Linked DNA regions of Notamacropus eugenii. The protein of the gene in region 1 purifies or fractionates together with the protein of each later gene. This does not show direct contact. Links are inferred from orthologs where the notes say so. Each region holds a gene or a part of one and is shown on either strand. Other genes may lie near its edges. The genes, in order: PARD3 and PRKCI.

Region 1 (11,020 bases):
ACACTATCACCTCCCTCATTCTGGACATAGAGTCTGGCACACAGTAAAAGCTTAATAAATGCTGGTTGACTTCTCTGGACACTAATCTTCAATTAACACAAGTAGCTTTAAATTAATTTATTTGGTTGCTACATCACACTGCTCAAGTCTTGTATAAAGACTGCTATTAAGATGCTCCACCTAACTTGAAACTTCACAATGGCTGTTTCGAAATTGAGTAGGACACTGCATTTATCCCCATTAAAATGTACCTTTCTATATTCCACCCTTCATGCAAGGATATCTAGAGATCCCAATTCTGCCACCTAATATAAGTTTACCACATCAGCTCTATCAGTCTGATAAACCTGACTTTTGTGCAAACATTTATCCACACCACTAACTCAATTCAATTCCACAAACATTTAAGTGCCTGTGTCATGGAAGAAATAGTTCTCTCTCAAAGATCTTAAAATCCAATAAAAATAAGGCCTGTTCACTAGACAAAATGTAGTGAGTACAATGGTGAGGTAAAGACTAAGTGAAATAAGAAGTAGAAGAGATAAATCATGTTCAGAAAGGTGATTATGAAAGCCTTCACGGAGTTTGAAACAGTGACACCTAATCTGGACTGTGGGGCAGCTAGTTGGTGCAATGGATAAAGCACCAGGTCTGGGGTCAGGAAGACTCATCTTCCTGAGTTCAAATCTGGTCTCAAATACTTAGTAGGTGGTGACCTTAGGCAACTCACTTAATGTTGTTTGCCTTGGATTCCTCAGATTCCATCTGTAAAATGAGTTGAAAAAGGAAATGTCAAACCATGCCAGTATCTCTGCCAAGACAACCCCAAATGTGGTCATGAAGAGTAAGACATAGCTGAAAAACAACTAAACCTTAAAGACTGGACCTTAAAGACAAGGATTGAGCTCAATGATAATTATTAGTAGCAATAATCATAATAATTTCATTAAGTATAAGGTTTTAAAATAGGCAAAATGCTTAACAACCCTGTGAATTTAGATTAAATAATACCAAATGCCTTTTGCTTTTAAATTTACAAGATACTTTATAGAAGTGGACTATTCACATGCCAAAAATGCTGTATGATAATTATTTGAGCTAATATTACCTGCATTTTACAGATAAGGAAACTTAAGCTCATAAAAGGTTGTGTGACTTGTCCATTGGTGTCAACATCCAAATCACTTTCTTCAAGACTAGGACACTTTCTACCATATCATAACAAACTCTTTCAAAATAGGGGAGATAGGGAAATAGTGGATTCCAGTACCAGGATACTACGGGAAGAGATCAGGCGCCATATTGCAGCTTAGTTAAGATGTAGAGTGTGAAGGGGAAGAGAATGAAATGACTGGATAGGTAGATTGGAGGTGAATTATTGGGGGCCTTGAATGTCAGTCCAAGTGGTTAGAATCTTACCCAGATATAAACCCTTATTTTTAACAAGGAAATTTCAAGGCTAGACCTTGTGTATTGGAAAGATGCACATGGAAGTGAAGGATGGACATTAGGAGACTAAGTATGAAACTGAAACTGCAACCCAGAGAAGAACTAAGATGGATTGGAACAATGATGATAGTAGTGGGAGGAAAAGATGCGACAGATGCAAGAGATATTATCTGATTTTTAAAAAGTTTAAAAACAACCTGTTTTACCGATAGGAGACAGGAAAAAGATGGGCAAGTATGCCATAAAATTTACACATGATATGATGTATACCCACAAAGCACTGCCACATAATCCATCCAAAACCAATTTTTTAAAAAAATGCATTTACTCTCTAGATGTAGAGACACCTTTGAGTATGAACTTCTCTATCCCACAAGAACATGAAATTAGTCTTGATCTCTACCAACCCACTTAGGATTATAGTAAAAAGAGCGGTCTCAGAAGCCGTCCAGTTCAACCGTCCTCACTTCCAAATGAAACTGTGCCCCAAAGAAATTAAGTAACTTGACCACAGTCATCAATGCCAAAGATGGGATTTGAATCAAGGTCTTCTAACTCCAGATCCAGAACTTTTTCCATTGTACTGCTCTGTCTCTCCTCCACAGTAGCAATGGCTAAAGAACCCATAGAAAAGGAATAATAGTCCATTGGAGTCCAAAATAAAAGCTGTAGTCAACTAGGAAAATAAAGGAAAATAGCAGATAAATGTCCACCTAATTTTTTTAATTAACTTGAGGAAGTACAAATAACATTTAATTTTCAATTATTCTAGGCAAAGGTCTTAAAAAGAAATATAAACTCAAGTGGAATATTTTGTATAGTATCCACTATGCAATTCTTCTGAGCTCTGCTCAGTTATGGGAATAAGGAGAGCACCCAGAATAAGTTGGTGCTGAGCACCTCTTATGGGACCCACTTGAAGTCTGTGGAGGAAAGGAAGGTGACAGCTGCTTGATCACATATAACTGAAGTTCCTCACAGGAAACTAAACTGAGAGGGCAGAAACAGAAAGCAGTACCCAGATTAGGAGGAGAGGTCAATACCAAAATCAAACAGAATTCAAGAGTAAGAAAGGAGAAAATGAATGAGAGATCAGGGCAGGAATGCCACACCTGGTCTATGTAGCTCTCGGATTTCAAACAATGGTACAGGACCACTCACAGCATGGCATGCCCACATCAGAAAGGGTGGTGTGCTGTATGAGCAAATCAGAATTGAGATAGCACAAAGTAAACATAGGATGCGCAAATTTGGAGTGTTCCAAATATTCACACGGACTGTCTGTGCCCAACCTGTGGTAGAGCATTTCAAGCTCATCATGTTGGTCTGACCAGCCACAGTCAGACACACTGAAACTTCACTTTATCATGGTGATGTCATTTTGGTCCTCTTCAGAAACAAAGAAGAACAACATCCAACAAACCAACCAACCAGAACTCAGTTCCACACAGATTTAGGTAAAGAGGTGACTGAGTGGGGCTGGCAGGTTTAGAGTCTAGGGGTTTATGCACTGCCCTAGGTGACTCTTTCAGCCTTACATGTTCCCCTAAATTAGTTGAGCTGTATACTTTTCATTGCTATCAGCAACGTTACCCTCTTTGGGAAAATGACCACATCTGTGTGGTAGAGGAAACCTACTATGTGTCAGCATTGTGCTGGGTCCTATAAAAATAGAAAAATTAACATAAGCCATGATCTCTTCCAATGAAGAGTTAAAAATCTCATCAGATACCAATTATTCTGTTACTAGGGTTTTGTGCCCAGGAACATCATGGTGAAAGTGTTATAAGGTGTGTTTTTTCAAACAATAAAAGTTTAATGTTTCATCTAACATTTATAAAAGAAATAACCCTAGTTAACCAATTCCCTAAGGTTATTCACAACCTAACCTAGGCACATAGTCAAAAGAAAATATACTTTTGCATATTTACTTTTTAACTAATATACAACAGAATCTGACTTAAGCATCTAGAGGAATTTTTTGGCATAGAAAGCAAACCCCTCAATGATACATGATAAACAGCTCTGTATGAAAGTTAAAAAATTCCAACAAGCATCTCATTCCCCAGCATTTCCTATTCAAAAAGGCCTTCTCTTTCTTAGATATGCTGATGACTCATCTCTCGCACGTGGATACTCCAAACTAAAAAACGTCAGAAACAATCCTAATGGGTTTTCATAGATGAGGACAAAGCAGGAGATAAGCCTTGCAGTCGTGAAGACCAGACTTCAAGTGCTCTCTCTGCCTTTTGCCAACCATTGTTACCATTAGCAAGTTAAAGACCCTAAACTATATGTTTATGCATTAGTGCAGGGAGTTACCTGTACCAATGAAATGGCAACGGTGGTGCGAAATTCTGTGTGTGTGTGTGTGTGTGTGTGTGTGTGTGTGTGTGAGAGAGAGAGAGAGAGACAGACAGACAGACAGACAGACAGACAGACAGACTAGTGAATAATGAGAACGTCAGAATCCAATTTGAAAAATAACAAAATGTTAGACTTCTGCCTACCTCAGAGGTCCTTTGGGAAATGGTGGGAAGGAAGCTATCCAGCTGCACATGATGGACCCTATATTCACATCCATAACATCCAGCAGTCCCAGATGGCTTGGTTAGTGTTCCACAACAACATAACATCATAAAGCTGAGATCTAGCCAAGAGTCAGAATGGTTTCCATTGATACGGACTGTAAAGTCAGAGTTACTTGAGAGGATGGAAGGGACCATCCCTGACTCCCCCTCAAAGCCTGCTGATGTCAGAGGCGGAGCTACCTTCTCCTTCCTAAGGTGTTCCTGTCATCATCAAGGGAGGATTCTGTGATTGTATCTTCAAAAGATTTGCCAAGAGCTAAGAGCAGCTCAGGTAAGAGCAGAATTCATTTAAACAGGACTATGGCAAAATAGCAGAATTCCACCAGCGGAAGAAAGGCCAAAACTATTGTACTCTGTGACGTACTTCTGAGACATACAAAGTGGAGGGTGGAGAGGAATGTGTGAAATGCCCTCCTCCTTTCCCCCATGTTCCAAGGCTCAGCTAAAATCTTCTATCAATCTCAAAGCCTTCCTTAATCACTTCAACCAACAGTGACTTCCCTGCTGAATTCCTTTAATATTTCTTGTCTGCACTACTTGTATTCATAATTTATAACCCTTTGTGGTTGTTAAGTTTTACTTTCATCACAGCCAATTAAATTGCAATATCCTTGACTGCATGGACTACATCCTACCCCCAAACACACACACTGGACATGGGATCCTGGAGGGAACAATAGGGAGAACAAGTCATTTGACCCAAAATACAGAAATAGTAAGAAGCAAGCACTACCAGGATATGAACCAAAAATGAGACCAAGTCCCTAACTCCGCAACCAGATCTCTTCCACTGACACTGATAAACATGTTGGTTGTATGACTTGGTTTCACCTAAAGCCAGCTAAATTGACATTTGGATTACAAATATCTGTCTTCTAATCTGTCTTAATACTATGTTTCTAAATGGCCCTAAAAGAATCTCATCAATTTTAAATGGTCTGACAATGGATAAAAGGACCACAGATCTAGAGCTTGAATGGACCTCCAAGGCTCTCTAGTCTAAACCCCTCATTTTACAGATGAGAAAACTGAGGCTCAGAAAAATTAAGTGACTCGACCAAGGTCACAGAAATAGTAAGCAACAGCCAGCATTTGAACCAAGGTCCTCTACCACCAAAACCACTTCTTTCTAGTCCTACAAAATGCCTGGTTATCTATGTCTTCATGGTTTTCCATGTCATCAGCTAAGTTATTTGTTGAGATATTTCAGTATCAGACCCCCTCAGAATAACTCATTGTTTTTGCTACACAACAATTTTGATTCCACCAAAATAATATCAATCCTGTTAATACAAAACCATGTTAACATTTTAATAGTTTTAAAAAGTTACCCCAATAAAAAACAGCATGTATGCTAAGTGAAACTGATGCCAAGAGAATTCAGTCAAAGCATCATTACACAATCTTTAATTAACATGTGGAACAGAATATATCAAGCAGCAATAAAATGTTAATGGGAAATTTAAAAGGGAGAGGAAGGAAAATAAGGCAAAACACACTGAGGAATAAATAGTTTCAAAGACAGGCAAAACCTGATAGGCTCTTTTAAAGGGTCAAACCTATTTCTGGGCCTGGAAAATGTGGGAATTTGCTTTGGAAATCATTTAACCTCATCTGTAAAATGGGGATAATAATAGCTCCGACCTCACAGGGTTGTTGTGAAGATCAAATGAGATAATAATTGTACAGTGTTTTGCACAGTGCCTGGCGCATAGAAGGTGATTTTTTTTTTAATCTTTTGATTGACTAAGTATATTTGCTTCAAGAGTTTTGCCAGGTTTTCCCCCCAGGAGACTGGAAGCAGAAGGGAGAGAAGTGCTTGTTAATTGAAAAATAAGTTTCAATTAAAAAATAAAATTAAAAGTAGGTAAGATTTTCAATGCTGTTTATAAAAAAATGTGCTATCATTACATTATCTAATTTTGCAATGACTGAAAATCTCCAAGAAGTTCACCCTATCTCTGAGGATTTGTACCTTCAGCAAAAGGAACAAACACTTTTCCTATCAGCGTATAATCAGAACAAACCACTGCCAGAGCAAAATAGAAAACCAAACCAGAAAGCCAGAGTAGTCCTGGACACCTGGGACGCTGGTTTTTCTCACATTTTCACAGTAGTATATTTCAAAGTGCTATTCAATACTGTATCCTGGTATCCTTTATGTCTACTGACATCACTCATTTTGCTTAAATATTCCTGAATATGAGGGCCACCCTCTACCTGGAAATTGGCAGAAGTACAGGCCACTCCTCAAACATTTTGAAGAACAATGTGCAGACAACAGAAAAGTGCTAAGTTATTCATTGAGGGGCAGTTTGGTGTAATGGAAAGAGAAGTACAATTTGAATATGATCATAAATTTACAAGTAATCTAGTCTAATACTTTCCTTTTCTAGCTGCAGAAAAAGAGAACCAAAGAGAACCCAAAGAACTAAATTCAAACCCTGAGTGCCATTTATTGCCTGTTTGATTTGTGACCTCTCTTGGTCTCAGTTTGCACATCCTATAAAGCACAGTCCCTGACCTCATGGAATTTTTCATCTAATTACTGAGAAAGAAATTTAACAGTAAAAAATAGTACACAATGAGCACTAAATAAATGATACTGAATATAGACACTGTAAGAGTTTAAGGACAGAGAGAAACTACTATAGGCTAAAGTCAGGGAAGAGTTAGTTGAAGAGATTTGGTGGATATAATCCCTTGAGGATTGATGGGATATGTATGGGGAAAAAAGGAACTTTAGAGGGGAATCTTGTGGCAAAGAAACTGATTCCCAAAGATAGTTGTTGTTTGGTGAATAGTAAGGAATAACATGATACTTGTATATGTTTTGATAATAACAATAATATCTGCCATTTCTCTAGCACTATAAGCTCTGCAAAGAGTTTGAAGACGTAGTTCAATTGTCTATAGAGAACCAGAGTTCCAGTCATGGAAACATGGTGGTTCCAAGTCCCTACTTCTGCTACATTCTGTCACTTAATCTTTCAGTGCTCACATACCTCTCCCACACTATTATCTTACAGAGGTCTGAATCTGCATTAGAAGAGTGAGGTCCGTCACTGAGTTTCCAACACCAATGGAATCACAGGTCTAGTCCCTCCACTTTCAAAAAATGAATTTTACATGCAGTGTCTCATTTGATTCTCAGAGCAATCCAGTGAGGAGAGGATTACAAATATTGTTTCTATCTTACAGGTAAGGAAGTCAGTGGTCAAAGAGATGAGATGATTTGCCCAGCGTCATACAGCCAGTAAATGTCAGAGCAGGATTCAAACCTGGATGTCTCTTGACTTCATGTTCAGAACTCTTTCCACTGGAGAATATGCTTTCTGCTAACTGAACCAGATTTGGGGATGGATTGAAGCTCTAACCCAGTGCCTTTGGCCATCCAAAGCACACATTAGGCTTACAGCAACAGTCTCTGGCTAGTCTATGGTAACTGGATCAGATTTCTTCTGGGAAAATTACCTTCTTTCTACAATGCTTTAACCAGCTGTCCTAAGCAGGCCAACAATATGCCACAGAAACATGGATCCAAATTTGTGATGTGGAAAAGTAAAGAAAATTTCAAACAACAATGTTAACTGAGAAGAAAATCTGCCATTAAAAACTTGAAAAAAAAACCCTCCAGAAGTACTTGAGGGTTTTATTTTCAAAGAAATAATCCAATAAAATAAGAAGTTCTATCTCTAAGAAACAAAAGAACCCTTCCCAAGGTCTGGTTGTTTGCCCCATATATCAATGTCTGGTCTCCAGAAGTTCTTCCTGTTTATGGAAGCCTTGATACATACAGTAAATTAACAAGACTAGACAAGGAAAACACAAAACTTGTCTGACAACTGAGGTCACAAATCTGCTCAGGTAAGTAAGACAGCAATCTATTTAAATCTGCCCCGTATTACACAGGAATCCTGTTTCCTACATGGCCCTCACATTATGCAGTTTCTTCCTGGTCATTCTTTCCTTTTCAGGCCCTACATACATTCTAAATTAGCAGATTCTGGGCAATCCTCAAGAACAGGTCCTTGTCCATCCCCATCACAGCTGGGTAATAATGCTAATGAATTTTAATTAGTACTGATATTATGAATAAATACATACACAAAGCATAAGTTCTGAGATCTTTCCTGACTGAGAATCCCTAATGTAAACCTATTAATTAAGCTGGATTGATGTAGTTTCTATGAGAATATTCTTGTGATGTAAGCACTTGAGTTTTATGCCCACATAGACCTGAACCATGAACTTCTAGGATTCTTGCAAAACATGTCCTGCTGGATCCAAGTACAACTTAAATGGCATCAAAACAAGTTGCGCTTAGGAAATCTGTTACACTAATTTTCAATAGATACACAATAGTATACAAATAGTGTACAATTTTCAGTAGTATAAATAATGAACATGAAATTAAAAAAATCCAATATGGATAACTGAGAATGTATTTTAAACACTACTAGGGGCTACATTATCATGTGTTCAAATTTTTTTTTCTCCAAAAGTTGTTTAAAAGACTTAAACTATGTTGCCATTTTTCACCACCAGAACCCTTTGAAATATTCACAAATTACCAATTAAACTCCAGTCTACTGAGCAATTGATACAGAGTAATTTGTCTTCATCCAAGAATGATGATTATAATTCAGAGAAACATCATAGTATCATGGCCTGAAATAAAACACTCATAGTGAGACTGGAGAATTGGGGAAGTCCTAGTAATTTTTCACTTAGTCAAGACCAGAAAGGAAACAAAATCATTACAAGAACGACAATTACTTAATTCTATATCTACAATAAAAATTCTGAGCATTCAGTCACACCCCACATAAAGAAGGAGGGGCAGAAAAAGTTCTGGTATCTGTGAAACTTGCACAACATCAGAAACCCAAACAAATATCATTGGCTTTCATCTTGTATACGGATGTTTCAATGAAGAACCTTTCAAACGCAGCATGTAATAAATGCATCCTAAGTCCTAGTGTATTGGGAGGTGAAAGTACTCAATAACTACACAACACAGGTGATGGGGCTAACTGGCCCTGTTTCTCTGGACTCATTTCAGGTGAATATATATTATATATATATGAGAGAGAGAGAGAGAGAGAGAGAGAGAGAGAGAGAGAGAGAGAGAGAGAGAGAGAGGAAGAGAGAGGGAGGAGGAGGGGGAAAGGGGAGGAGAGGGGGAGGGGGAAGAAGGGGGGAGGGGGAGGGAGGGAGAGAGAAAGAGAGAGAGAGAGAACCTAGTAGTAACATCCACATCTGGGAGTAGGCTAGGTGTAGCAGAAAGGATGAAGACTGTGTACAGGAGAAGTCTTAAGAAGCCAAATCTCATGATGTCAAGGCCCTAGGAAGAGTTCTTTATAAAAATGGCCTTAAATGTTCATCTACACACTCGGGGGGGGGGGGGGGGGGGGGGGGGGGAGGGGCGGGGAGGAGGGAGGGGAGAGGGGTTTACAGAGAGAAGTGAGAGAAAAGTGAGAGAAAAAAAATATTAGATGACAAGCCTCTGAAGAATCGGACATTGAGTCTTAAGAGAAAGTAGGTATGAGAAATCATGGCAGCTGTACTGGAGATTACAGGTAGTGAGATATGAACCACTCTGTAGTAACAGCATCCATGCTTTGTTTGAACAATTACATGCATATATCACACCATGTGAGGGAATTTTTCTCCCTTGTTCCAATTTTATTTCTTCCTTGTGGAGAATTCCCAGCTCAGAAATGTCTACCTCTGATGCAGATCAGCTCTCTCTTTACAGAGTTGCCTGGGACACTCCAAGGTGAAGGGACCTGCCCACGGCCATGCAGTCCTCATAGTTACACAATGAGCATGGTCACCAGGTCTTCCTGATTCCAACACCATGAGCTATTCCATGCTGCTCCACAAAGAACTATTAAAAAGTGGCAAACCCAAACACTACTGGTGGCATATTATATTAAAACGGGTTGTTTTATAAAATTTCTCTTGTTTGATCCTCTCCATAATCCTATGAGGGAGGACACAGAGAAAGGGCTAGAGAGCTTCCCTGAAGTCAGGAAGGACTAGCTTTAGGATCTACAAGTGATTAGCAAAGCACCCCAGTAATTAGATGGTTCCTGGCTAATGGTAGGTGTTTTTAAAAATGTTAATTGATTGACTCCCTCTGAAACAAATGGTCTGGGTGATTGGGAAAATCATTTCCTTTCTCAGTGCCTCAAAGAAACTTGGTAAAACCAAAAACTTCAACTCAAGGGCTAGTCTGCAATAGGAGATGGAATTTCTTCACCAGGTAGTTCCCTATACCAGTGCAGGCCCCATCCTTAACAATCCTATCACACAAATGCAGTTGTTAGCCCCACTGTATAAATGAGGAAACTAAGGCTGAGAGGGGTTAGGTTAACTTGCTCAGGATCACATGGCTAGTAAACATTCAAGGCAAGTTTCAAATTAGTGAAATCTGCACCAAAATAGAGACAGAGTACAATTTTCTTAAAGTTAACTTTCTTTCTTACTAGATATAGCTAGGCGGTATAGTGAATAAAGTACCAGAGCTATAGTTAAGAAGACTCAACTTCATGACTTCAAATGTAACCTCAGACATTTACTAGCTGTGTGACCCCAGTCAAGTCACTTATCTCTACTTGCCTCAGTTTCCTCAGCTGTAAAAATGAGCTAGAGAAGAAAATGGCAAACCACTCCGGTATCTTTGCCAAGGAAATGCCAGAGGGGGTGACAACAGAAATGACTGAACAACAACAACTATTTCACTAGCATAGGAAATTCCTCGTGAGGAAACTCCTACCAATATAGAATGACATTCACTTTGCAACTTAGATTTCCCTGCACCACTGAAAGGAGAAGTGACTTCCCACAGGTCACAGTCGGATGTATCAGAGATGGGACTTGGACCCAGATCTTTAGGACGCAGGGGCCAGCTATCTATTGATTAGGCTATGGTGCTCATCTAAATTCATTATTTCATTTTAAATTACTTCTTT
Region 2 (10,611 bases), on another chromosome or scaffold:
CCATGTCCCACCCGGGCCCGGGCGGCGGCGGGGGAGGGGGCGGCGGCGGCGGCGGCGGCGGGGACCACGCGCACCAGGTCCGGGTGAAAGCCTACTACAAAGGGTGAGTGAGCGCGGCCGAGCCGGCATCGCCACGGAGCCCCCGGGGGGAGGGGCTGCGGCGTCCTCGGGCCCCCCCCGTGGCGAGGGGGCGTCCTCGGGCCCCCCGGAGCCCGCAGTGCCAGGGGGCGTCCTCGGGCCCCCCGGAGCCCCCCGTGGCGAGGGGGCGTCCTCGGGCCCCCCGGATCCCGCGGTGCCAGGGGGCGTCCTCGGGCCCCCCGGATCCCGCAGTGCCAGGGGGCGTCCTCGGGCCCCCCCCGTGGCGAGGGGGCGTCCTCGGGCCCCCCGGAGCCCCCCGTGGCGAGGGGGCGTCCTCGGGCCCCCCGGATCCCGCAGTGCCAGGGGGCGTCCTCGGGCCCCCCCCCCGTGGCGAGGGGGCGTCCTCGGGCCCCCCGGAGCCCGCAGTGCCAGGGGGCGTCCCGCCTGACGGAGGCCCCCACATAAGGAGGCTGCTCGAGATGAAGCCCCCAGGGCCGGGCCGGCTTTGCCCTGGTCCCCCAGAAGTTTGGATCATTTGGATCCGTAAACTTGTTTTTTTCTCATTGAAATTATTTTATTACTTTTCACTTTTCCACCCTCACTTCCACAAGTTCCAAATGTTCTCCTTCCTCCCCAGACGGGCCGCGCACGGATAAGCATTTATTAACCACCTGCTGTGTGCCACCCCTGCCCTCCAGGAGCTTACCCCCTGCTGGGGGAGCCCACGTGCAGGGCGCTGTGTACAAACAAGCGGGGACCCATCCATGGGAAAGAACGATCGAGGACCCCTGGAATGGAGGGGGCGTCGGGGGGCTGGCCGGCGTGGGCGGGACTTCCAGGAGGGGCGTTATTAGAGGAAAGCCCCTGGCCTTATGCCCTGACCATCCCCTCCTCATCCAGAGCCTTTGTTTCATTACTGGTATGTGAGAAGGAGCGCTGTGACCTCTGGGCCTCAGTTTCCTCATCTGTAAAATGAAAGGGGTGCACTCTGCCTTGGTTCTCAGCTTTGGATTTAGGGTGCCCGATTCCCCAGCACCCGGTGTGGGGATCGTAAGTGTGGGCAGAGACCTGGAATGTTACCATGTGAGGTGCTGAGGGCTTCCTTTTTTTATCACTCTTGATCCCCTGTGCCTGGCAGTACAGGAGATGGGCTTGGGGGTGTCTGGAGGATCTTGGCCTTCTCTGCTCTCCACCTGGACCCTCAAGGAGCGCCTCATGGCTGGGTCTGCTGTAGGCTGTAAGGCCCTTGAAGGTCAGCTCGCTCTTCTGTCCTCAGCATCAGAGTGCCCGTTGGCTGGACTGGCCATGGCCTGCTTGTCAAGGTGGCTGGGGTGGGCTGGCTCAGGGGGTGCTGAGTCTCTCAAGGGGGCCTGGGTGGGGTTCCCCTACTGCATGGGCAGGAATAGGCCTTGCTTTGGGCTGGCATGTGGCAGGAGTTTCAAATGAAGACTTTGAGTCTGGCTTGCTTTCCCTTGGGTCTAGGCTGCAGGACCAATTTAGACTGTGGTAAGCTGAAGTGGGCATGCCTGAAGTCATACCCAACAAAAGGAAAAGCCACCAAGTTACGCACGTGGACTTTACCTGAGGACGGCCATAATAAGTTCATTACCTGTTTGGGGCTGCCAGGGATTTCTGAATGGTTGAGTGAATGATGCGATCTCCCCAGATTTAGGAGGGATTTGTTGAGAATGGTTATTTGGGGAGCCCCTCCCTGGTGTTGCTGGCTTTCCAAGAACTTGGTTTTAGGATGAGAGCCCTGCCAGGTGAGAAGAAAACCATCCCACACCTCCTGGCACTGAAGGTAATTCCGTGGGGCTTTTCTTATCTCATCACCTTAGCTAATGTTGGCCCATCTCCCCTAGGGGAAAAGAGTTCAGCCGTGATACTTGATTAAAGAATGTTGTAACTTTAGGAACTTTTCTTCTCCCCCAAATTGAAGACTTCCAGTTCAGTTGAACAGCTTTCACTTGGTCGTTGTTTTGTGAGGTGCCTGCCCTTGTGGCTGCTGTTCACTGCTGAGACCAGCTTGGGGGTTTTCCAAACAAACACCTTTACCAGTGTGCTTGTTGCTTATTTATCCAGGCAGAAGTCAGTGGCTTAAAAAAAAAAAAGGTTGACTGTACAGTGTGTACATTCCGGAATGGATCAGTGAGGATTGTGAATGGGGAACCTGTAAGAGGGAGGTCCTAGTTGCCTGCCACCTCCCTCCTCTGTATTCCAACAAAATCGAGTCCCCACAAATGATTCTTAATGAAATGTTTGGACTTTTTGTTTGTGTGGTTTTGTGAATTCTTACCTTTGGAGTTGTAGCTTCATCTTAGGACTCGTAGTAGCTTAAGATCACATTGAACAGTTCACATGTACACAGACAGAGAAAGCATTACATGCCTTGGCTAAATGTGTGGGTGTTATTTAATGGGCTCTTATTCTTAGGGGAGTTCATGGGATTTTGAGATTTTGCAGCCAGCCATGACTCCCACAGAGCACTGTGGGAAAAACATTTTGTGTGTACGTTTGTCTGAAATGAGACATTGATTTTAAATGTTTTTATTTAATAACCAGATTTACTAAATTCTAGTTTATTTTGAAAGAAACAGAGGTGACTGTGCTTAACAACCTAGGTTGGAATTAAGATCCCTTGTTTCTCTCACCATCAAGGTCAGGAAGGGAGACGCTCATCTGTTCAGGAATGTCTTTGTAAATTCCAAAGCGTGATGACCAATAGGAAGTGTTACTGTTGGCCTGTGGTTTCAGTTTTTTAGGTAAGCTTTCCCCTCCACTTTAAAAAGGGTGACTTTTGCTAAGGTGAGCCAGGAATCTTTCTGACCACAATCACTTTGATCCTTCTTCAGCTGTGATAGAGAGCCATGGTTGAAGCGTCACTCCTGTACTTAAACATTCTCTCAATTGGTCATTTCTCTGCTTCCTGTCCTGAAATCAGACTTAATGAGGACTCTATCTTTATTAGCAATATACCCAGCCAGAGGTTGTACTGTTGAAACGACAATGAGTCACTGAAGGAGCAGGTTACTAAACAGGTTGTCTAACTAGGACACCTTTGACTTGATTTTCATATTTTAAAGAATTCTCTTTACCAGAAGACATTTCCCCCAAGCATGACTGATATCCTCATTCTGAGAGATCAGTGGGTCAGTTGCACCCCAAGGCCCCCCTCTACCCCTCAAGCTGTGTTTCTTTGTAGCAGCTGGGATCATTTTGTAAAAAAAAAAAAAAATGACTCACCACTCTTTTTCCCCAGGAAGAGGACCTTCAAGTTCCTTTAAACTTGATCTTTATGAAAATGTGCCTTCTCCAGATAAAGAAACTTAAACCACACACTTAATTTGATTACTTGTTCTAGTATTTAAATAGGAGATTGGCTTTTTCCTTGTCTTTTTTTTACACACACGGGAGCTTTTCCTTGGATTTCCTTAGTCATTACTTTGTTCGTTTACAGAAGTAGAATAAAAAGTTCTGTTGGTTAGTGAGAGATTAACATCATATAAGCTTTTTTATGGTGAGCTTTGCTTTAGTGGGGCAGGACTTACCAGTAAAATAGTGAGGGAACCAGGTAGATTGCATCACAAAATATACAGGGGGTTTTACAAACATGTTTTCCAAAATTACATTTCTCAGAGTACTCTATACTGAGCAGTCATAATTTTAAAGATTTTCCTGCCTATACCAGCATTGTACAATTAGGAAAACATTGTTGAATAGCTGTGTTTGAAATTGGCCTTGCAAGGAAATATGTAGAATTTTTCTCATATTTGCAAGTCTTGACAAGACTGTTTTTTGTTGGTACATTTGTTTTCTGACTACTTTAGTAACGGCATTAATGGGCAGAGGTCATGTGTCTGATTGGGCTCTCACTGGCCCATTTGGGCCATCTTCTTTTCTCTGTCACCCCTCTGGGAGATCTTCTCACTTACTGAGGTTTTAGGGGGTTATCTCTAGAGTTGACTGTAAGCACTGGGAGTCCAAGGGCATCTAGCCTTCCCTCTCTTCCTTTATTACTCTGCTTCAAGGTCTATTCCGTGAGCATCTCAGCCATCTGTATGCAGGTTAACAGCCTCCTCCACCCCCCCCAGTCTCCTTGACTTGGCTGAACTCTCTCTGCCTTGGGTGAGCTGCTCCGACAGCGGTGCCTGGCTTGTCCATGACATTGCTTCCCATTTCTTGAAATTACACTATATTGCTTTTTATATATTTTTGGACCGCATGACCTAGGGCCAGAAGCTAAACCCTCCAGCAACCCAAGTGATGGACTCAAGAAAGAAGGTGCCACAAGTCTGGTTAAAAAAAAAAGTGTCCATGCTCCCCTCCCTTTTCCCTCCTGGTAGAATGTCCACTCCTTGAGGCCAAGGATTTGATTTTGTATCTCCAGGACCTGCCACAGTGCCTTGTCCATAGGTTCTTAATGTTTGTGATGTTAAAAGAACACATCCAGCACTTAGCACAGTTCCTGGCACATGAGCAGGGGCTTAACAACTATTTATGGATTGATGGCTGTGTCTCCAATACAGAAAGGCCCAGGTAGCCATTGCAGAGTGAGTAAGAAAGGCCCTTGCCAAAGCCTGTTCATTTTTTAGCATCACAATTTTCTGTTGTATCTCATCCTCAGCGAGACCCTCCTGAGGACTTAACCCCCAGGATTCTTATCTAATCTTTGTATCTTTTCCAGAAACTAACTCAGGGCTGCGACAAAAGAGAAATGCTTAATAGATGTTTATTGAATTGGATTTACAAACCCTTTTCCAAGCCGGTAATTACGAGAAGGGAGGGAGAGTCCTCTACAGACAAGCCCAGTGACAGCCGAGGAGTAGATGGGAAAAAACAAACAACGCACAGGGCAGAGACGTGGGACTAACGGTAGAGTGGCCTATAAGGCTTAGAAACAAAAGCTAGAATGTCATTAAATGGACTCCTTCCCACCAAACGGCTTTTCAAAAAAGTGACCTGTGGCCTTCAGAATCCCAGGGTGTTGCTGAAGGAAGATCCAGTATGAACATGAAGATATCATGAAAGCATCCCCCTGCCCCCCCATCAGAGATGTGTATTGGGTAACTCTCCCATGCTTCTGCTGGTTTGTCCAGTGGCATCTCTGCTTTTTGCTGCCTCTTCCCGTGGCCATTCCAGTGTCCTACTCTATGTCCTCGCCTCCCAGGGCCTCTCATCCCTCACTGTGCCTCCTGCTGTGGAGGAGCCTCGCTGAGCCTGCTGGTGATCCCCAGAGGTCTGTGGGGATCCTGTAATCACAGACCCCCTGAGGCCAGCCTGCTGCCCTCAGAGCATGCTTCATTCTCTACGAGGCAGCCTTAGAGATGGGGAGTGTTGACACCTCCCTGCCAGACCAAGGTTCGTTCAAGACTAGAGGAACAAAGTAAGACCTGACTTCCTCTTACTGCTGACAGGGCTGGTTCTCAGCAGAGCCACACCAATCAATGAACGTGGATTCAGCACTTAACGGGCCCTGGGCTCCTCCATGTCCCTGCCCTTCAAGGACTTATACCTTGTCATCTGACATGTACAGAATCAGTAAGTGCATCCCAGGGTGCCTCCTGCCTGGATGGGTGGTGACCGTCAGGTAGGTATTCCAGCAGAACTCCTAACCAGCTGTCTGCCTCCCACCCTGCATGGTGGTACCACTTGCCTTTGGGATGATGATGTAGGATTTTGAGCTGGAAGGAGCCTGAAGAGGTAACTTGAGTGCAGGTCCATTTCACAGGTGAGAAAACTGAGCCACTCCTGGCATCTGTCAAGTCCCAACTCAGTTCTGCTGTTCTAGTAGAAGCCTTTCCCAATCCCCTTAATTCCAGCTCATCTGTCTGATGATTTCTAGTTTATCTTGTATATATTTTTTGTTTCCCCCGTTAGACTGGGAGCTCCTAGGGCAGGGGCTGTCTTTTGCCTTTCTTGCTACCCCCAGTGCTTAGCTCTGACACACAGTAGGTGTTTAATAAATGCTTCTTGACTGAAATGACTGGCCTTGGGAAGCAGCAGAGAGGGGATTCCCACCCAAGGCCTCAGCCTCCAATTGCCCCTGTGCCATGGTGCTTTGTGAATGTTGAGGCAATCCAGCAAGACTGACTCTGGAAAGCATGGGGAATAGGCCTGGACCTGTGATTTCATCAGTGTCTGGAACTCTCAGAGAACATTCCCTCCCCAGTCCGGACGGGCCTCTTCATGTCTTAGAATTGTCTGGCACACAGAGCCTGTGAGTGGAAGGTGTGGACTAGACCCTGGCTCTGGCCAGCTCGCGCTCTCTCTCTCTCTCTCTCTCTCTCTCTCTCTCTCTCTCTCTCTCTCTCTCTCTCTCTCTCTCTCTCTCTCTCTCTATCTCTCTGCCTTGGCTTGCTGCCTTCTTGACCTGTAGTTGCTTAAACCAGACAAGGGGCCCTTTAACTTGCACTTTTCCTCAACTGGCACGATGTTTGTATTGGACACATTTATCTTGGGTGTGGGAGCTTTCTTTGAAGACAGGAAGTTCAAGACCAAGTACAGATTTTGAAGTTGTTTTTTTTTTTAAAGTTGAGAGGAGTTTAAGACAATGAAGAGCTGGCCTGGGTTTCAGTCCTGCCTCAAATACAGAAGGGCAGGTTTATCCTGGGCGAGTGCTGACAATTCTCCGAGCTCAAAAGTTTTGAGAAGGTGCCAGTCTTCATTGGTGGAGGGACTTTGCTCACCTGGAATTCTCTTCCCTCCTGTAATTGGTGGCACAGGAGTAGAGGAGTCATGGGTCATGGGTCATGGAAGCTTGCCCTTGAGGATACTCAGATGGAACCTTGAAGGAAGTTGGTGGATGGGGGAGGGTGTTTTTCTTTTCTTTCTACTATTGACATTAAGATTTATTTTTTTTCAACGTAATAGTACTTTATTTTTTCCAATGTCAAGAGAGTTCTCAGCGTTCACTTTTATAAGATTTTGAAATTTTTTTCTCTCTCCCCTTTCCCCAAGATGGCAAGCAATCTGATTGTAGGCTATACGTTTCAGATCACAGTAAGTTTATTTTGACATTAGTCATGTTGTGAAAGAAGAATCAGGACAAAAGGGAAAAACCACAAGAAAGAAAAAAGAGAAAATAGAATGCTTCTCTCAGCATTCGGATTCCATAGTTCTTCTTCTGCATGTGGATGGCATTTTCTATCATGAGTCTTTTGGAATTGTCTTAGATCTTTGCATTGCTAAGCAGAGCTAAGTCTATCAAAGACAGTTATTTCACAGTGTGGCTGTTAGGTATACAATGCTCTCCTGGTTCTGCTCACTTCACTCAGCGTCTGTTTGTGTCAGTCTTTCCAGGTTTTTCTGAGATCTGCCTGCTCATCATTTCTTACAGCATAGTAGTATTCCATTACACTCTAGTACCACAGGTTGTTCAGCCATTCCCCAGTTGATAGGCATCCCAAGAGGGTATGATTTTCACACATGAGGCCCCCCCCCCCCCCTTCCCCAATAAGGTGGGAAATGGGAGATTGAATGTCCTGGGGAACAACAAAGAAGCTAGTTTGACCAGAAGTAACTCTCAAGCCCATCAGCCCCTGGAGCTGGTGGTTGGGCTTGTGTCTAAGGACTGTCCATTTCTCCTCTGTGTGGAGGAGAATCTGGAGGCAGGTAGACCACCTGGGGGACTACAGGCCCATTGTCCTGATGAACATTTGTAAAACATCTTACAGTCATCATCCCATTTGGAAAATGAGGGGACTTGAAGCTGAGGTATGACTGTTAGTGAAGAAGGTCTTATGAAAGGAGGCCTGACACTTGACTTGCCAGCTGATGGGTTAGTGGGGGTGAGGGAGAGGGAAGCAGTGAGTTTGAACTTAGGGGACTGATGCCCTCAACTGAAGACAATGATGGTTTTTTGGGGGACAGATAAGGAGTTCTATTAGGTTGTGGTGAGTTTGAGAATGCTTGCCATTGGGCAAGTCCCATAACAGTTAATTAGTGATGCTCTGGAGCTCGAGAGAGATCAGATGTGGGTGGCTCCCAACCATGGGAGCTGAAGAGGTCGATCAAGTCAACCAACAAGCATTGATTAAATGCTTACTGTGTGCTGGATCTCTAAGAGAGAAAGGAGAAGAGGCCCTGGGGTTTACTCACCCACAAGGGTCTTTAAGGCCTGGACTTCAAATAGCCCTAATGCTCAGGCAGCCCTTACACATCTCAGGGGTTAGGGGCATAGGCCCCCCCTCCCCCATCTGGAAAATCCACCTAAAAGCTTTTGGTCCTCCTTTTGTGCCAGAAAAGAAGTATTTTGGCTTTGCGGATTTCCTTCTCTTTTGTCTTGATATCATACAAAACTATACATATATTTTATGTGCTTCTTAGTTTCTAAATTTTTCTGTCTTGTCTGCTGGCTTTTGGTACGTCATCTGGGGCTTCTGCAAAACTCCCCCAAATATCCCATTTGATTTCTTATGCTGACCCTCGATCATATGTGGAAGGGATAACTAATTATTGCTTTGATACCAGGATGGGGAAAGACCACAGCCTACCCTCTCCTCTTCCCTCCTTACTCTGGCATCTTTTTTGCATAGCTTTTGGGATGGATTGTTGAGCTGGTAAATAATCCTCCTTTAGAAGTTGGAGCACGTCTCAGTTTATTGTTTTCAGGGAGTTCTTTTTCAGAGAGGTAGCTGAAGAATGAATGAGTACTTTTAAGGTCAAGAACATGGAATGTAAGCATGTGTCTCTTGAAGTATTTTGAGGTTTAATGGGAAAGCCTAAAATTGTATTGAACTGTGTAATTTTAGGGAGCTATGTGGCTAAGCACATTGGGATCTGTTGAAGATCAGTGGTAGGCAAAAACATGCTATTGCTGAAGATGGAATCACAAATAGACATTGGGGGTTCTTAACATAGGTAGTGTCTGTGACATTTTTTTATTTGTTAACATTTTAAAAATTCTGGTAACTGTACTTCATTGTTTTTGTTCTTCTCTGTTAATCCGATGCCTTTTATTTTCTGCAGTTAAAAGTATCTGCTTCTTGAAAGGGTCCCCGGAGTCCTGAAAGGGTCTGAGCCTCAAAGGAAGTGAAAACCACTATTGGGGGCACGTTGGCTGAGGTGACTCACCAGCTGTGTGCTCTCTGCCTTTTTGTTCTCATTAAACCCTGAATACTCTAACCAGGATCTAGTGATAGAGAAATGTGTAAACAAAGCCTTTTCCAGTTACTCTGGGAAAATGTTTATAGAAAATGGCCTTGCATGTTTTAGATCCTGAGACTTAAGGAGCTCCCGTTAGAGGGACAGAACACACGATTAATGCTGACAGGGTGAGGAGGCCTTCTTAACCTCTTGGTTCCCAGCAAATGCATTCCAGCATTTAGATGGTTTTGTGACCCAAGTTTCAATGAGAACCAAAGCATCTATATATACATATCATTACCTAAGAATAATTTTAATAGCTCCCTCCTTTATACTTCAGAAAAAGAAATGATTGGTTCATGCACAGTAATGCTTTCTGTTTTCTTTCCTTGTAAATGAAAAACTTTAACAAAGAAAAGATTTCTTTCTTTGCCACATGCTGCTCTGTGTTGGGCCTTGTCTACAGCTAAACTTAAGCATATCGCTTTTTTGTTTAAATAGGCACACAGTATCATTCCCCTTTTAATGCCTAATTTGAGGACAGGAATTTCTTTTTCTTTCTCCCTTTTTTTAAAAAAGAGTCAATTCCTTTTCTCTTATCTTTATGTGAAGGGTAATGGGCAATAGTTTTTCCCTTAAGTGGAAAGAAAATTGAGGAACTTCAGAGCCTTTTAAAGGGGTGGATCACTTTGAGTTTTAGGGCTGCAGTAGTATTTGGTTTTTGAAAGGGTTCCAGTTGCAGTGTTTTCATGGGAGGGGAACACTTGTCTCTTGTTCAGTATGTTGCTTTATCAATCTAAGTATCTACCATGTTCCTGGTAGTTGTAGATAATGGAGACAATATCACGAGTCAGTAAGGGATAACATTCTTCTATCTTTTTATTTATTTATTTAGGTTAATTTTCAAAATTTTTTGAGTTACAGAATGTTTCTTCCACCCTTTGAGAAGGCAAGCAGGTCAAAATGGTTACATGACCCCTTAGATGTAAAGAGAGAGATTACAAGAAAATTTGAAGAACATGGGACATATTACTTATCAGACTTACAGATAGGTGAACATTTTATGAATAAGCAAGAGAGAGAACAGAGTGAGATCTTAAATAGATAATTTCAATTACTTTAAGGTTTTTTTAAAAAATAAAACAAATGTAGCCAAGATCATAAGGAAAGCAGAAAATTGGGGAAAAAATTTATAGACAGTTTCTCAGATAAAGGTCTCATAGCTCATATATATAAAACTTTATAAAAATCTCTAAGAATGTGCAGATAGCTTAAGTAAATTAGGGGAGCAAGTTTATCTGTCAGATCTATGGATAAGGAGTGAGTTTATGACCTGTTTAAACAAGAGATAGGCTCACAGGAAGTAAAATGGACAGTTTTGATTACATGAAATATAAAAGTTTTTGCACCAAACAAAACCAGTGCAGCCAGAATTAGAAGGAAACTGGG

Evidence for each region.
Region 2: the proteins of PARD3 (region 1) and PRKCI purify together in Homo sapiens (affinity purification with western blotting; 5 studies listed by BioGRID and IntAct, with this or other methods). This does not show direct contact. The link is inferred for Notamacropus eugenii from reciprocal best matches to the Homo sapiens genes PARD3 and PRKCI.

What each region holds. Positions count from the first base shown.
Region 1 is NC_092874.1:74,739,116-74,750,135, forward strand, and holds the start of PARD3 (partitioning defective 3 homolog), read right to left. Parts: upstream 4,203-11,020; 5' UTR 4,176-4,202; coding exon 3,960-4,175; intron 1-3,959. UniProt on the Homo sapiens protein: Adapter protein involved in asymmetrical cell division and cell polarization processes. Seems to play a central role in the formation of epithelial tight junctions. Targets the phosphatase PTEN to cell junctions.
Region 2 is NC_092877.1:353,919,509-353,930,119, reverse strand, and holds the start of PRKCI (protein kinase C iota type), read left to right. Parts: upstream 1-5,489; 5' UTR 5,490-5,522; coding exon 5,523-5,665; intron 5,666-10,611.